4 linked regions of the Saccharomyces cerevisiae S288C genome follow. The protein of the gene in region 4 purifies or fractionates together with the protein of the main gene of each other region. This does not show direct contact. Each region holds a gene or a part of one and is shown on either strand. Other genes may lie near its edges. The genes, in order: STM1, RQC1, NMD3 and RPL10.

Region 1 (3,776 bases), 160 kb from region 4:
AATGGTCTGTTTTCTTTACAAAGATAAATTAGAAAAACATGAGGATAAATACAAAGTTCCCTTAGATATCCGTAAGTTTTTTGGTAAGCTGAACCCTGGAGAAACATCTTCTTTGTTTTCTGTACCACTCAATGACTTAGTTATACATCTTCTTCCTGAAGCCGATGAGGATGTTAAGAGTTATCAAGCAGAATATTTTGAGCGGAAGGAGTATAAGCTTAATTGGGGTGGAATAAAATGGTTGATTATGCATTATCATTTTCACGTAGCAAATAATAACGAAATGCCATGGTTGCAAACCATAGAGGATTTATCAAGTTCAGACGAAGACGGTGTTGATGGAGGTATTTTCAGATTCAGGGATTTGTGGGGACTCACATGTAAAATATTATTCGACGTTTCATGTATAGCTAATGGACTAATGGACGAAAAGTTAAAAGGAGAACTAGGGCACGAAGATTTGATAGTTGGACTACATGACTATGGTAATCAGATGCAACCGAACGGAAGAAGTGAATGGGAGATAGGAATGATCAACGGCGACAGAAACTTAAAATATAGCGATGTGATACCTGAATACTACATGAAGCACCTGCTGGAGTGCCGCTCGCTTTGGTAAAAAAAACTGTGGTATAATGCGTTGCCTAACAATACTCTCAAGAGATAATCAAGATGAGAGAAAAAGAATCATACTGGATGTCCTTAATCGATAACAAAAAGTTTTTAATGAAGAATGACTAATGATGAAATTGTTATACAAATACAAACAAACTACACGCTTGCACATCTCAGAAGTGAAAAAAAAAAAAAGAAAATTGAAAAGTAAATTAAAAGTCATTTATTTTTTATTGCTTAAATAAAACAAAATGATATGTCATATTCTCGATTGGATGTCAACCCAATTTTATTCTTTGGTTTGCCAGCATGATCATCTTCACTTGCAAATTATATAGTAAATAACCAATTAAAATAATAATAGTAATAGAAACAGAAAGTAGAACACTGTTATTGGATTCTTTCAGTTGGAATTATTCATATATAAGGCTTAAGCCAAAGATGGCAAGTTAGAAACGTCAATGTTACGGTTCTTTTGAACGGTGTTAGCAGAGTTAGTAGCGTTAGCAGTGTTGTTACCCTTTCTAGCGCCTCTACCACCACGACGGTTGTTGAAGTTGTTTCTGCTGTTGTTGTTTCTGTCACCGAAGTTCTTTCTAGTGTTAGATTCAACAAAAGTGGCATCAAATTCCAAGTACTCCTTGGTCTTCAATTGCTTAGATTTGACGTTCTTGACCTTGGTTGCTGGAACGTAAGCTTCCTTTTCAGCAGTTTCAATTCTTTCAGCGTCTAATTCAACCTTCTTAGCTTCTGGGACCTTGTTGAACTGGTTGTTAGCTTGTTGGTTCAAGTAGTCTTGCAAAGACAATTGAGCGGTCTTTGGCTTACCAGCGTCTTCAGCTTCTGCAGCGTCTTCAGCAATTTCAGCAGCAGCATCGGCTTGAGCTTCCTTTTCAGCACTCAATTCCTTCTTGTCATCACCCCAACCTTGGTTAACCTTCTTCTTGGTGTCAGTCTTACCAGTTCTAGAGTGGCGGTCAGTGGCCCTTCTGGTGTTGGACTTCTTGGTGGTGGCAGAGTCAGTGACATCCTTTGATCTGTTGTTTCTTCTACCAGCGGTCTTGTCTCTGATAGCACCCTCGTTACCAGAAGGTCTTGGTCTGTTCTTTCTAGCCTTGGATGGGTCAGCGGATGGAGGTGGGACGTCAGCCTTCTTGGAGGAAGTGTTGCTCTTGACGATTTCCTTTGGTGGCAAAACGACAACGTCAGCGTCTTCGACGTCGTTACCTAACAAATCAAATGGGTTGGACATTGAGAATAAAATGTGTATGCTTTCTTGGTTTATTTCTACTTCACCTCTAAAAGAATACTGTGGGGGGAAGAGAAATTTGCAAAGAAATAACTTCTAATTTAAAACTACGAAGCAGAAAAAAAAATCTTCCACAATAAACCAAGTATACAACTAAAACAAGCGAAGGAAGGAAGAAGAACAAAGGGGATATCGACTCAAAATCAAATATTACAAGGAAAATACCATATAATTTCTCTACTCAGTTAGGGCTTCCTCTACGCAACGATGATATCAAAATTGAAAAAAAAATTTCTTTTTGCGTTGGTGCGAACTTTTGGGAACACTTTCCATTCCAATAATTTCACTTTCCTTTATCTTTCTAAACGGTGATGTTACCCGTCTAAATAACAACATGGTAGCGCCATATGTTATACGGCTACAACTTTGTGTCACGTGACATTGAACGGCTTTAAAGCGGAGTATGATCTCTTTTCTGAGGCAATAAGGGGTGATGATCAGAAAGTGAGGAGGAGGAGACTCTGGATTAAAAGCCTATTACAACTTTATTCTAGTACAAAACTTTTGCTGATTAAGCAACGACAAGTAAGATCGAATAAAGTGGTAGAAAAACAGCAATAAGTTACAAAAGTATACGTGTTAAAGAATGACCATTGATGGCACGGGGCAATCTAAGGAGGCGCTGCAAGATGAACGGTTAAATACTGGCTCTGATAAGGTTTACCAAAACTATATGATGCCTGCTTTAGAACTCTACGATGCCAAGGTCTCCATAAACCATTGGCAGTTGCGGGATTGTATCAAACCAGGCTCCATGAACCAGAGTAAACTGTATTATATTTACGATCATTCGATAAGAGTACTAGATACGGATTCTTCCGTATTGAGGTCTCCAGTAAGGCGACATAATTCTATTCAACCGAGTAACAGTGGTAAAAACTCTACTGAAAAAACGTCTACAAAAGGTTCTAGGACAACGGGCTCGTATATCTCCAAAAATTTACATGTTCCTTCCGAGAAACTGGTAGAGTTCAACTTTAAGCCGAGATGTTTCACGGAATTAAATGGGTTGACTGTTTGTGGTGGTCTAATCGGTTCTGATGATAAGGGATTCCCTTCTAATTGGAACCGTTTAGCTCAAGATGCAAATATTTCGTTGCCGCCACCTTCCCAACCGATTAATATTTCCAAAAATATTAGTTTCCCTATAAATTCACATTATTCAAATCCTAATATCTGGAAGGGCATCGTGGAGTTTTATAATCAAGAAACGGACACAATGATGACTTTTACGTTGGGCCAGTTCATCAATAATTGTGTCACACTTTATGACAGGGCCAGTATGCAGTTTGATCTTTTTGCATGCAACAATGATGGTCATCTTTACCAATGCGATGTAAGTAATAGAGATGTAACACTAGTGAAGCGTTATGCGGATTTAAAATTTCCTTTGAATAACGCTTCTTTGTCACATGATGGTCAAACGATGGTAGTGTCTGGCGATTCTAATAAATTTGCTGTTTACAATCAAAATGAATTAACCAACCAATTCTCCTTACATTACGATAATCATCCTTCCTGGGGTAGTTCTGTCAATCGTGTTAGACGGATACCACGGTTTGCGTTACCTGATGAATCAGAATATATCGAAAACATATATGAAGCTCCAAATTCAGACCATGGGTTTTATAACTCTTTTTCCGAAAACGACTTGCAATTTGCGACGGTATTTCAAAATGGTACTTGCGCAATTTATGATATCAGAAACATGGCTACTCCCATGGCAGAAATTAGTTCGACTAGACCACATTCCCACAACGGTGCATTTAGAGTCTGTAGGTTCAGTTATGGCCTAGATGATTTATTATTCATTTCTGAACATCAGGGCAGAGTACACGTTGTAGATACAAGA
Region 2 (5,027 bases), on a different chromosome or scaffold from region 4:
TACTCATGAACTGTGGAATATTCACAGAAGGAACGGACATGCCAAATATTGATTGTATACTACTGTGTAGGCCCACAAAATCGCGTTCACTTTTGATTCAAATGATTGGAAGAGGTTTACGGTTACACCATTCGAAAGACCACTGTCATATCATCGACTTCATTGGAGCTTCTAGTGTTGGAGTGGTTTCAGCGCCCACTCTACTGGGTATAAGGAGTGATGATATCGAATTTGATGATGCTACAGTTGAAGATTTAAAAGCAATCCAAGGAGAGATAATAGCTAAACAACAAAAAATCGACGAAAGGTTAAGGGCTTTATTTCAGACTGATGAAGCAGCAATGGAAAATGTAACTGAAAGAAATAGCGTTGCCGATTGGATTCACAGTGCAAATTCGGTTGATTTAACCTTGTGCTCCTTTGATAGTTTTAGGAATTTTACACAGAGCAATAACTCATATCCATCTGGCAAGGAGTTTGATGAAGCTTCTGAAGCTGTAAAAGAAATGGAGCTGTTGATGAACTCACAATATCCGTGGGTGAAATTTGCCTCAAATGCGTGGGGCCTCCCTTTAAAAGGTAAGAATCATTTGAGAATATACAAAGAAAAATCCGAAGACAAATTGTCGATGGTATATCATCTAAAAATGTATCGACAATTACCGTGTTTTATAACAAATAAATACGCGGACTATGTTCCAAAAAGTATAATAAAAGACGCTAATCTTTGGAATGTAATGTCAAAGGTGGAAAAAATCATAAATACTCTAAATTCGGACTTGGAAGGACAAACAATGCAATACCAGGCAATATCTAGTAAATACTCGAAATGGAGACAAACAGTTCCTACGTCAAAACAAAGAGACTTTGTTTTCAGAAAGCTAAAGAAAGTATATGGTGAGTCCTCAAAAGATTTTATTAGATTATCTTTGGATGATGTTACTACTTATGTAAATACTAAGATGACGAAAGGAGATGCTTCCAACTTAATCTTTGCCAGCAGTTTGGCACCTGTCTACCCGTTGAAATCATTGTTACGAATATTAGAATATCAAAAAAGAAGATCTTTTATAAAGTGAAATCCGTAGCTACATAAATGTGCATATATTAATATACAGTCACTAGTACATATGTAAACGTCGGACCACTCGTATATGCATTTTCTTTTGGATCACACCCTTTCTGAACTATGCAATGAATAACGTTAAATTCAAATAAGTGCTTTAGCCTTACTCTGCGTACTAGAAAATGAGCTGCAACATTTCTTATTAACCCTCATTTTCATTTGACTCTTCATTTTCATGAATGTACTGTTGCAAAGATATTTGTCTAATTTGATTCAACAGGTCCTCATCTTGCATTCTTTCTGCCTGAAGGACAGCTAAATCCTTTTCATTAATAAAGGTTTTGATGTTTTCAACCACTTCGATTGATTCTTTTGACGTAGGCATTGGTGGTAATACGTCAAACTCATATACTTCATTATCAGACCAGATAAATGATGGAATTGCAGCCATTACAGAAGACTCCTCAGATAGTATGGCGAATCTTAATAAGTTAATTGGGATTCCCGCAATAAAGAAAGGTGATTGCAAGTTGTTAATGTTATTGTGATCTTGCCCATCATTTGAATCGATTGTAACGTTTCCTCTATGGTAATCCTGTAAAATACTCGACATTTCATCATGCAAAAATGTTACCTCTTCGTTTCTATTCCAAAGTAACGGGAAGCGGGCCATATATGCCTTTAATTCCAAGTTTTCTGCCGAATGGCCATCAATGGATAAATCTTTAGTTAGCGCATGATCGCCCAAGAGTTTCTCCTTGAAAAGTTCTGACAGTTGTAAAGGATGATGCTTAAAGGCTTTTAGAAGCGCATTGCGGGCGGAACTCATCTCATTTATTCTTAGGAAGCTTAGTACTACCGCCAAGGAAAATCCTAAAGTATTCCACTGTTTATAACAGTTCATTAATGGAGAGTTGGATAATTCTATAATGTACTGATAGTCATTATTCAATAGAAAATAGTGATCGAGGAAATACCTGCATCCTAAAGGATCTTCCAATGGGCTCAGTGACCAGAGAACTTTTGTCCATTCACTAGCAGTTCCTATAACACCTCTTTGAGCAAGAGATTGGATGTATCTAAATATTGCCAAGTAAAACTGTCTGTTGAAGAAGTATATATAAGGTAGTTGACAATTCAAGGAATCGAAAATAATATTTGCTTTCAAAGCTCTATCAAAGACAAAGAGTGCTCTTTGTAACAATCCATTAGTGTTTGATCTATCACCTTGCCTAATAAATATCAAAGCAACTTGTAGCAGTCCAGGCACATGATACGGAAATTTAGAAGAAATCAAATTTATAAGGGCTTCATGATCAGGGTGAACAATAACACTTAAGTAGAAGTCCATCATTGATTTCTTGCTCAGGTCGGAATTTAAAGGTTCGAACTTATAAAAAGAAATGAATTTTTGCCACTGACTGACATCGTTTTGGATAACATCCTTCCAATCTAACGGCCTTTCCCATAATTGCCAATCTAAAAGATCATCAGAACTTAAAAGTTTCATAGAGAGCTCACCTCTTTGAGTTGGGATCCAATCATCTCTGATCTTGGTAAACTTCAAATGTTGCGGGTGCATTCCGGGGCCATTAGGTGCCAATCTATGATCTTTTCCGCCCCAGTTTCTAATTAATCTTTTCAGTCTCTGAATCTGTTTCAGCTGCTGAGGGGAGACAGGTGTGGATGTCATCGAATCAATATCTTCAAGAGACTCTGGAGATATATCGTCAAATAAAAGTTTGAATTCCGTATGGGGGTCCAATTTCTTGAAATCATTTTGAAAAAATTTGCAAGAATGCCTCAAACATGAAATGGGGAACTTTGTGAAGCCCGGATCACTTTCTAAGCTTAAAAATGACTTCCAAGGTTGGCTAGATGCTTCCTCTGGTTCAGATGCCGTGAAGAAACCTTCCTCATTAGTGTCATCATTTTTAGTCTTACCGTACTTCAATATATCAGTTTTTTTGAACTGTTGGATAATCTTGTCGAATTCTTCATCATCATCATCATCATCGGAACCCTTGTCTTTTGCAGCCTCGGCGGTATGGTTTTTTTGCTTCCTTTTTGCCTTTTTATTCTTTTTCCTTCTAGAAGACTTGGATGCTAGTGTAATTCTTTTAGGTTGACCATTACTTTGAGTATCACGCTCCCCAGCAGCAGCAGCTTCTTCATCCTGCTCAGACATTTGTCCTTCATCAGTGCTATTATCTGAATCACGTACGTTATTCATCATAGAGAAGATGTTCTCCCGTTTCTGAATATTACCGGCAGTACTTTTACCACTCGTCATTTTATTCGCATTTGAATTCGATAGCAGCGACTCTAGCAGAGCATTATCATCTTGTAATCTCCTTAATGCTCTAGAGCTCATGTTCGAGTACTTTACAAATATATTTAGATGATTCAACGACCTGTATGTTAACCTTCAACTGGTGGACTGTATGTACTACCTATGGACATTTTTCACTATACGTTGATGCAGTAGTGAACATATTGCTCGCATAATGTTACCCGTTTATACCTCTATACGATTATTAAGGGAGGGTAATACTTTCTCAATTTTTTTTTTTTCAGTTTTTAATATTATTTCCTTAAGATTTTTCGGTGGCGTTTCGCGACAACTTACGAGAAAAAAAAAAAAGAGGAGACTTGAAGAAAGAGTGCAAAGGGATAGCGGGATTCTAAAGTGTTTACGTGCAAAAAGGATAGATTTTGAGCTTTAAACTAGATAAGACCCAAAGCATTCGATTACTGCATTTGAGAGGTATTCAACAATACCATTTTAACTCTTAGAAAATATTTCCTTAAGCTGAAAATTTATGAATTCTAACTGCTCTTTGCATTTTCCAAGTTATTGCATTACAAGAATATATGACCACATCTCGTAAATCGCATGCGAAAGACAAAAAGGCTGGTGGTGAACAGGATCTGGCGGATTTGAAGTTTAGGTATGATCTTCTGACGAATGAACTGTTCCATTTAAGAGAGTTTGTTTCATTGGTAGATTATGATCCAACCCATTTTAATGATTCTGAAAGTTTTCAGAAGTTTCTCAGGGAAACACACTTGTCGTTAGAGGAGAGAGGAGAAAAATTCACTGATGACGTAGCCAAGAAAGGCACGAATGGTGATCTTACTCGCAGAAGGCGAAACCTCAGGACATCGACAGTTGTTAGTTCAGAAACGACTAATGAGAAAAAGGGTGATATAGAACTGAAGTTAGAAAGCATAGCACCATTAGTACGAAATAAATGTGAGGAGCTAAAATACAAACTAAGTGATCATTCAAATAGGAAATCTATAGTACCGCAAAAAAGACCAATACAACATTTGAAGAAGAGAGAAGCAGCGAAGTCCTTGAAGTTCAAAAGTGAAAGAAAGGAAAATCCACTGCCATTGCATGAACATATAGCTGAAGAGAGATATGATCACATCGCAAAAGTTGAAGAACCCTCTGAAGCCTTCACTATAAAGTGTCCTTCTGATGATAGCTCCTTTGAAAATACTAGTGAACATTATAGTGATAATTTTTATTTCACCACATCATCCGAAGAGGAAGATATAAAGAAAAAAAGAGGTAGAAAGAAAAAGAAGCCTAGAATAAAACTGGTAGTCCATCCTCCAAAGCAAACCATAACGAACCCGTTGCATGTAGTCAAGCCGGGATACGAAAGCTTGCACGAATACATCGCTTCCTTTAAGTCATTAGAAGACGATTTAACGCTGGAAGAATATAATAAATACATCGACGAACAAAGACGGCTTTTATCGAGACTCAAAAAAGGTATTGAAAATGGCGCATTGAAGTATGACAAAGAAACGGACTCACTACAACCTATAACATCCAAGGAAATCAAGACTATCATAACATATAAACCAGACCCGATTTCATATTTCTATAAACAACAAGATCTGCAAATCCATACCGATCACTTAATTAACCAAGGTATTCATATGA
Region 3 (4,599 bases), on a different chromosome or scaffold from region 4:
TCATTAGCTTCAAATTTAAATCCACGGATTGGTCAGCAATTTTTAAAGGATCTAACAATGAACTTAAATCAACAACACGTGGTGCTAGCTTACCTTGCACATTCCTTTCCCATCCAGAAACTTTCATATCTGGGTTACTTGAGGATGATTGTGGGTCAATAGAAGCAAATGTAGCATTTAATGCAAAGCTACCTTCGTTCTGTCTAATAATTAATAGTTTGAAATCTATCAAGTCAGGAACATCGTATTGCAACACGCTGAGAAAATTTTTGGTTAGAGCAGAAGGGACGTTTTCCATCGTACTAGTGTCCCTTATCGCCAAAACTTTAGTTTTTCGAATAATACACTTGTCATAATTTACTATTTCATCGTCTGCATCCAGTATACACACCCATTTTGAGTAATTGACATCAAACCATTTTTGACACTTTGAGAACAGCCCTTTTAAACTCGGCTCTGGCCGCACATGTAAAACTGTTGAAGAGGGTCTTTGAAAACAGGGAACACCTAACCAGTAATAAAACCTGTACTTTTTTAGGTCAGCAAAACTAATAATCACAAAAGAAACACACTTATTGATATCCTTTATTCCATCTTCCCAGCATTCCAATGCTCTTTGATGTAAAAATAGTTGCTTATCAAGATTCTTAAACTCGTCTAATACATTAAAATTGAAAATACTGCCCTGTAAAGGCACTTCATTAGTACGCTTATTATTGTGTTTTTCAAAGCTTCTATTTGTTAAGAATAATGGAACTTGATCAGCAGATTTAGGAATGTTGTGTAAATCTAGATTCACAGTAAGTGGTTGGCATGTTGAATCTAATTTCAGAACATCGAGTTTCAATCTCGATAATTCTTGGAAAAAAGATGTATCCAGAAATGATTTAAAAGCTGGTGCATAACTTAAGACCCTTTCTGACGACATTTTATTCTTGATTATCTTATATTTGTTGAAATATAATGAACTTTAGTTATCTAAGTAGCATCGTAAAATAATGAGTTCCCTTAATTTTTTTGTTTTGCCGTGCCGGAAAGGGTGTCCAAAGGAATCTCATGGATTAAAAAAGCGGAAGTTTAAAAATCTTGCGTAAGAGCTCTACAAATGAAAAATCTTGCTTGCCTATCTAGTTTTCAACATGTGGTGGCTTGTTCTTCCATAAAGTACATTTTACATCCATATATATGTATATAGATAAACTGAAATGCTAGTGTTTGTTAAGAGTATATACTACTCTCCATTCTTTGGTGTTTTTTTACTGCTGAGATTCAACGGGTGTGTTCTCGACTCCATCTTCTAATGTCATTTCATCTAACTCGTCCAATAATTCATCAATGTTGATTTGTGGAGCGTCTTCATCCTCGTCTTCATCCATTTCATGCTCTTCAGGAGGTACATTTGCTTCGCGGTTTTTGTATAGGTTAACACTTTGTCTTAATTCAGCATCCTCTTCTAATTCTTGTAAGAATAATTCGTAGTCCTTTTCTGCACGTTCCATTTCTTGCTTTTGAGCTCTTGAATTGTAATCTAAGGATGCATCGATATCTTTGTGTTCCTTAGCCATTCTCTTTAACTTCCAGTGTCTGCTCTTTTTGCTCTTTCTTTGATACAATTTCTTCACAAGAACTACATCAGGCACATAATCGATATTTAACCCATCAAAAAGATCTGAGTTGTAATTCGAGTTTGCAATGAAATAACCCATAACACTATCACCTGCATGGCAAATACCACCGAGATGAGACCTGACGTAGTAGACTTGGTCATTAACACCCAAGTCAGACGTTCTAGCAACAGTAATGTCAGCTAAGACACGATTTCCCCTGCTTATACCTGTAGAATCCACGTCCAGAACAATGAACTCCACCAACTGGGTCACATCAGCCAGGGCGTTGAATGGAGCCCTCCAGTACACAGATGGTGACAGATCCGCGGTTTGCAAAGTAGTCGGATCCATAAACTGGACAGTGTTAGAAATCTTAGAACATAGAACAAATTGAGAAATGTTACCCATAGATTTAGCCAGTTTTTTTGGTAAAACGACCAAGTCATCTTTACAGATAGGAACAATCTCGACAGAATATGAAAATTTATAAGTAGATGCACCAGTATGTGTATCTTGAGAAATAAGTTCTTCAGACTTTTTATGTTTAATCGGAACAACAGCGTTCAAAAAATCAATCATCTTAACTGCGTGGTTTTTTTGCGCATAGAAGAAATCCAACCCGTCCTTAGCTTCACTAATGGAAATGGTATCCACATGAGCATTATGTTTCAAAATCAGTTGTTCCAAAAACAAAAATGTTCTCTTGTGAGGCACTTTTTGTCTAATTTGGACAGTAGCCCTCCAAGTATTTGTAGTGTAGGATCTGGCACAGTCTGGACATTGCATCGCAATAACAATGTATTCTACTTCGAAAGTTTGCTGAATAATAGTATTTGTCATGGCTTCTCCCTGCACGGTAAGTTTAATTCTAATACGTCTAGAATGGGGTTCTGTCCAAATGAATGAAGCATCCACTAATCTGACTTTTGTTAGGCCCTTCAAACGACGCAAACAAATGGCCAGTAATTCTCTAGATTCTAATTCTGCTCTGATCCATTGTCCAGGTGGTTGCAAAAATCTTTCACAGTTTCTGCAAAATGAAATGTTCGCTTCTCTTGGAATACCTTGAGTAATGTCCACAGTCAGTTTGATACAGTCATAACACATAACCAGCCCAGTGGACCCATCGATTGGGGTACCACAGTTACAACATAGAAGAGTAGCAGCATTTTGGTGCTGGTGCGGATCTATAGGTGTGAATTCCATCCTTTTGTCAAATTCCTCAACGTTTATTAGACAATAAAATGTAGTGTTATGTACCAGGCGACAAATAAAAGATAAAGCCAAGGTTCCTCAAAACATAGTTAAATCATCACAACTGCTAGTAATTTTTCTTTTCCAATGCGATGAGCTTCAAAAAATTTTCCAACTACAAGAGAAAAAGAAAAAAAAATAAGTTACCCGTCGGTGATTGTACGTAATTGAATTTACAGCGATTTTCTCACCCGTTATATAGAAACATACTTCATATGTGCCAAAATTGTATCTATCAGTTGTCCTGGAAAACAGTATCCAGATTGTACGATATGTACGTCTTTAAATCTTATTTAGAATTTTTCAAGAGCGCAAACTTTTCCCGTCATTTTGCTTCTTCTTTTGCTGTCTTTTTCTCTCACCGAAGTTTTCCTTTTGCATTGCCATCAGCGATTCCCTCTTCGCCTTGGTTACCTTGGTCAAGGCTTTTCTTATTACAGCGGTATCGTGTACCTTGTTTGTCTCTGTCATCTTCTTGTTGATACGGTCCTCAATGGCCTGTATCCTAGAAACATCTCGCTGGGTAACGAATGATATGGCGTCACCAATTCTGCCAGCACGGGCCGTACGACCAGATCTATGGATGAATACATCTGGGTCTGAAGGTATATCGTAATTCACTACAAGCTCAACAGTTGGGATATCCAAACCTCTGGATGCTACATCTGTAGCGATGAGGATTCTTGCAGCGTTAGCTCGAAATCTATGTAAGGAATTTGTTCTTTCCTGTTGGGGCATTTGAGAGTGCAACGACGCTACCCTCACTTCCAACTGCTTCAGGGTTCTTCTAAGGATCTCCGCGGTCATTGTTCTATTTACAAATATTATAGCGGTTTTATTCTCATATTCCTCGCATGTTAATAATTGGTACAAATATGCTTCTTTGACGTGTTCTGGAACCAAGATATACTCTATTTTCAACGTCGATGGAATAGCCACATTATCTACACTTTCTACTTGGTAAGCGAACAATGGGGGTTTCCCTTTCTGCACTGGTGCATTTTGTAACGACTTTACTTGGTCCGTTATAGTTGCAGTGAATAGAAGTGTTTGTCTCTTATCCTTGGGAGGTAGAGCACTTATACATGTTGCTAAATGATCGGCAAACGTGCTAGTTAGCAAAATATCGGCTTCATCTAGAACTAAATATTTAGCTCTCATTAGCCCTCCAACGGTATCATCTCCGCTGCTCATGATATGATGTGCCAGACGTCCAGGCGTGGCAATAATAAAGTGCGGCTTCCTTTGTAAATCCAATGCCTGCTGAACGATGCTTTCACCACCAACTATAACTGACACGCGAATGTTCATACTGCTACCAAGTGCAGTAAATTGTTCGGCAATTTGCATGGCTAACTCTCTGGTTGGGGTCAAGACCACTCCAAACATCCCTGACGGATCTTCGGACCATTTAGTCAGCATAGGCCCTGCAAATGCAATAGTTTTACCAGAACCAGTCTTGGCACCACCAATACAATCTCTTCCTTCTAAGATTTTGGGAATACAAGCCTTTTGGATAGCGGTTGGCTGAGTAATTTTCATAGCTCTTAAGGATTCCGTAAGCCATTTTGAAAGACCTAAAGATTTAAAGTCTGCCATCTTGAAAAGTTTCTGATATGATGCTACGGAGATCTAAAGCGTCTGTATTATACGACTGATAATATTCCTATACAATTATTTATTCAAAAACTAAGTAAATTGCCAGTTTATATTTACTATTTACAATCCGCGATGAGGT
Region 4 (3,868 bases):
TTGCAAAATTGGTGTTGAAATCGTCAGAGGGAGCTAATAGGATATCTCTGAATTTACGACCATCCAAATTAGGTACTCTAACAGGGAACAATGAGTCCTTAGAATGACACCTTCCCCATATGTATACACCAGGATGATCTATTCCAAGTTGAAAGGCAGGCACTTGAGGAATCTCCCTTAATAGATTTTTGGCCTTTTGTCTGATCAATTTTTCCAACGAATCCTGTCCACTTTGCTCTTGCGTTGCATTTATGCGACCGCCATTCATCTTGATTAACCACCAGGATTTTAATTCTGGCCAACGCAAGTAGGCCGTTCCCAACCCACCCACTACCACGAGAATGAGGATCCCTTGCCCAACAGCAGATAATTTCGCCATCCTTTCCCATTGGAGTTCAGATTCCTTTGTGATCTGATCAGGAGACTTCTCAGGCCATTGGAAATGCTCGTCTGATGGCCTTTTCTTTGCTTTATATGCGCCATGGTTAATGTTCTCTGCAAACAACTCTGCTTCATCGTATTGAGGTTGTTTGGCGTATCGCCTGATGGGACTAACCCAGTTAAGGCGAGGGAGACGTTGAGAAGTCCTCGTGAATAATCTGAATGACATTAGCGGCGCACGTCCCTGTTATCGATTGCTCCCTTTCTTGTTAGACGCATTCAACAATTCTTCGTTACTGCAGCTCAGGCTTTTTTTTTTCCTGCTGGTATACAAAAAGCAACAGTGTCCATTGACTTCAGGATATATCACTACCCAACATGCTGAACTTTAAAAAAACACATAATTATATGTATTACAATAATGTATAAATATATTTACTGTTTAATAAACTAGAATTTAAATCAAAAAAATTTCTCTTTTAAGTTAGTTCAAATGTTTGAAAAGAACTTAAGCTTGAGCAGCAAAGTATTCTGGGAATTCTCTGATGTTGTTTTCCAAAGAACCCTTCTTGGACAAGAACTTAACGAAAGCACCGTCGTCCTTGACTTCACCAGCTTCTCTCTTCTTCAAGTATTCTGGTCTGTCCAAGTTGGTGAAACCCCACTTCTTAGACAAAATAATCTTTTGTTGACCTGGGAACTTGTATCTGGCTCTTCTCAAACCTTCAACGACAACATCCTTGTTGCTGTCCTTGGTTCTGACAGAGAAGATAATTTGACCAATGTCGACACGAGCGGCCAAACCGTGTGGCTTACCCCAAGCACCTCTCATACCTTGTTGCAATCTATCCGCACCGGCACAAGACAACATCTTGTTGATTCTCAAGACATGGAAAGGATGGACTCTGACTCTTAAGTGGAAAGCATCTCTACCGGAGACAGTAGTCATGTACTTGTTGGCACAGATACGAGCAGCTTCCAAAGCTTCAGAAGACAATTGTTCCAATTCGTTGGAAACCAAATGGACACACAATGGGAATTCATCGACGGTAGCCTTCTTCTTACCCAAATCGTAGATTCTGATCTTGGAGTCTGGAACAGCTCTGTTGTATCTAGACTTTGGGTAAGGCTTGTTCTTTTGGTATCTGTAACATCTAGCTGGTCTTCTAGCCATCTTGAATTAGTTATTTGATATACTGTACTTTAAAGTTTGAAAGTCCCACTCCAAAAGCACTTGCGGAAAGGATGTATAAATGGTTGCTCCACATCAACATCTTTTTATAAACTATTCTCTAGAGAAACCAAACTGACCATCAATTCTGAGATGAAAAGTTTCCTTAGTCAGCATTATTGTGCTAACTAGTTTCGGAGGGAAAAATATCGAAAAAAAAAAACCAAAAAAAAAAATAAAAAAAATGTACGGAGGGAAAAGATGTACAGGTGTAAAAAAGCACCCCACGGAAATAACCGCTACTATAATTTCATTTCTTTTTTTTCTATATCCTGCGGAAAATTTTTTTATACTGACAGGGGAAAAAGCAAATTAATTTTGCTTTTATATATGGAAAGTAGCGGGAGATGAGATGAGGTGAATTGAAAGGCAGTTAAACACACAGACAAGTGAAGATAAAACAATAGCGCATCATGGGTAGATATTCGGTGAAGAGATACAAGACTAAAAGAAGAACACGAGACTTGGACCTGATCTATAACGATTTGTCCACCAAGGAATCAGTACAGAAGCTTCTGAACCAGCCATTGGATGAAACCAAACCGGGCCTTGGTCAGCACTATTGCATACACTGTGCCAAATACATGGAGACTGCTATAGCGTTAAAAACGCATTTAAAGGGCAAAGTGCACAAAAGAAGAGTCAAGGAGTTGAGGGGTGTCCCTTACACACAAGAAGTCTCTGATGCTGCTGCGGGCTACAATTTGAACAAGTTCTTGAACCGTGTACAGGAGATCACGCAATCGGTGGGTCCGGAGAAGGAAAGTAATGAGGCCTTGCTGAAGGAGCATTTGGACAGTACCTTGGCAAACGTCAAAACAACAGAACCTACTCTACCGTGGGCGGCTGCTGATGCCGAGGCGAATACCGCTGCCGTAACAGAGGCAGAGTCTACTGCCTCAGCCAGTACTTAACAGTAAAGTAAAGATCAGAACCAAAAATAGGCATATACACTTTTTATAGTATAACACACTTCCAGTCAACTCGAATCGCTTTTGCCGCGAAACGCAATGAAAAAAAGTACGCAACAAAGAGAAATAATGAAAAAAAAAAGAAAAAATTTTTTCATTGCTAGGCGATGAGCATCGACAGTTTTATACGTAAATCAATGGTTAGATAGATAATATTAATAACATACAAGACAATTTTTGCTTCGATTAAAGTGTTGGCACGAATTATTGTTGCGGTTCACCAACCACTATACATTTTTTCTCTTCCTTCCGCATCTTTATCTGGCCCCGGTAGGTCATGAAGTCTAGTAAGCAATTGGTTCAGGACGCTAAGGATTATCGCTTCAATCCGGCGATACCATTGAGAATTTACCTGAAAACATGCATCGGCATATTGGAAAAGGCACAGTGTGCGTTCCAGGCCAACGACTTGTCGCTGTCGTTTATTTATTATTTTAGATATGTGGATTTATTGACTAACAAACTATCTAGACACCCTGAGCTTTTGCGCATGGATGCGTCGTCGTCATCGTCGTCATCGTATATTCATAAAAGAGAATACCTGCAACTCATAAAGTTGGAAGTGCCTGCGGTCTGCAAAATTATTGAAAGCTTACGCACCCAAATTGATTCTCAATACAGCAAATTGCAAACATCACTCGCTAATAATATAGCCAAGCCGAACATAAACGCAAACACAACTCCCGTGCAGGTGGAGCAACAACCACTGCCGAAGAAATCTTTCGACGAGTATAGCTTCAACCAATCAATTTCTTTTTTCCAGAAAATTTCAAACGCACAACTTAATACCGGAGCAAGCTCTCAGAGTCAGGCCACTGCCCGTGATGAAGCCTACAGACTGAATTATCCGGAGCTACCACGCCTTACATTCTCCACATAGCATCCTTTTTTTTTTTTTTTTTCCATACCATACGAACATACATAACCTTACATACAATATTACATGATTACTCTGTTACAACACGTCTCCCCTTCTTGGTCTTGACCATTGTACTTTGGCTGGTATGTCCAATAGAGTCGCGTGCGCTACAACTTCGTCCTTGTGGGTCATGAGGTTCGTCAGCTTATCCATCTTCTTGTTCAACTTCATTAAATACAGCAGATTTAACACCAAGAGCACCAAGATTATTATGTTCACCCAGTTAAACCTCCATCTGTCGCTGCCTATTTCTGAGATTTCCGCCTCAGCTTCTGGTTTCGACTCCGGCTGTACCATCGTCAGCTCCGGTGCTGCCACTTTCCTAGGTGATCCAAAAGATGTAACACTGGGCAACGGCTTGAGTGT

Evidence for each region.
Region 1: the proteins of RPL10 (region 4) and STM1 purify together in Saccharomyces cerevisiae (affinity purification with mass spectrometry; 2 studies listed by BioGRID). This does not show direct contact.
Region 2: the proteins of RPL10 (region 4) and RQC1 purify together in Saccharomyces cerevisiae (affinity purification with mass spectrometry; 3 studies listed by BioGRID). This does not show direct contact.
Region 3: the proteins of RPL10 (region 4) and NMD3 purify together in Saccharomyces cerevisiae (affinity purification with western blotting; 4 studies listed by BioGRID, with this or other methods). This does not show direct contact.

Annotation. Positions count from the first base shown.
Region 1 is NC_001144.5:438,558-442,333, reverse strand, and holds STM1 (Stm1p), read right to left. Parts: upstream 1,868-3,776; coding exon 1,046-1,867; downstream 1-1,045. Other genes in the region: PCD1 (8-oxo-dGTP diphosphatase), read left to right, coding at 1-619; GID11 (Gid11p), read left to right, coding at 2,511-3,776. UniProt on the Saccharomyces cerevisiae protein: Ribosome preservation factor that protect a small pool of nontranslating, vacant ribosomes in cells under nutrient starvation conditions.
Region 2 is NC_001136.10:1,131,992-1,137,018, forward strand, and holds RQC1 (Rqc1p), read right to left. Parts: upstream 3,441-5,027; coding exon 1,269-3,440; downstream 1-1,268. Other genes in the region: IRC3 (double-stranded DNA-dependent ATPase), read left to right, coding at 1-1,079; chromatin-remodeling protein SWR1, read left to right, coding at 3,941-5,027. UniProt on the Saccharomyces cerevisiae protein: Component of the ribosome quality control complex (RQC), a ribosome-associated complex that mediates ubiquitination and extraction of incompletely synthesized nascent chains for proteasomal degradation.
Region 3 is NC_001140.6:442,042-446,640, reverse strand, and holds NMD3 (ribosome-binding protein NMD3), read right to left. Parts: upstream 2,814-4,599; coding exon 1,257-2,813; downstream 1-1,256. Other genes in the region: ATG7 (Atg7p), read right to left, coding at 1-928; ATP-dependent RNA helicase DBP8, read right to left, coding at 3,165-4,460. UniProt on the Saccharomyces cerevisiae protein: Acts as an adapter for the XPO1/CRM1-mediated export of the 60S ribosomal subunit. Unlikely to play a significant role in nonsense-mediated mRNA decay (NMD).
Region 4 is NC_001144.5:280,614-284,481, reverse strand, and holds RPL10 (60S ribosomal protein uL16 RPL10), read right to left. Parts: upstream 1,556-3,868; coding exon 890-1,555; downstream 1-889. Other genes in the region: FMP25 (Fmp25p), read right to left, coding at 1-610; BUD20 (Bud20p), read left to right, coding at 2,026-2,526; RFU1 (Rfu1p), read left to right, coding at 2,861-3,463; LAM6 (Lam6p), read right to left, coding at 3,539-3,868.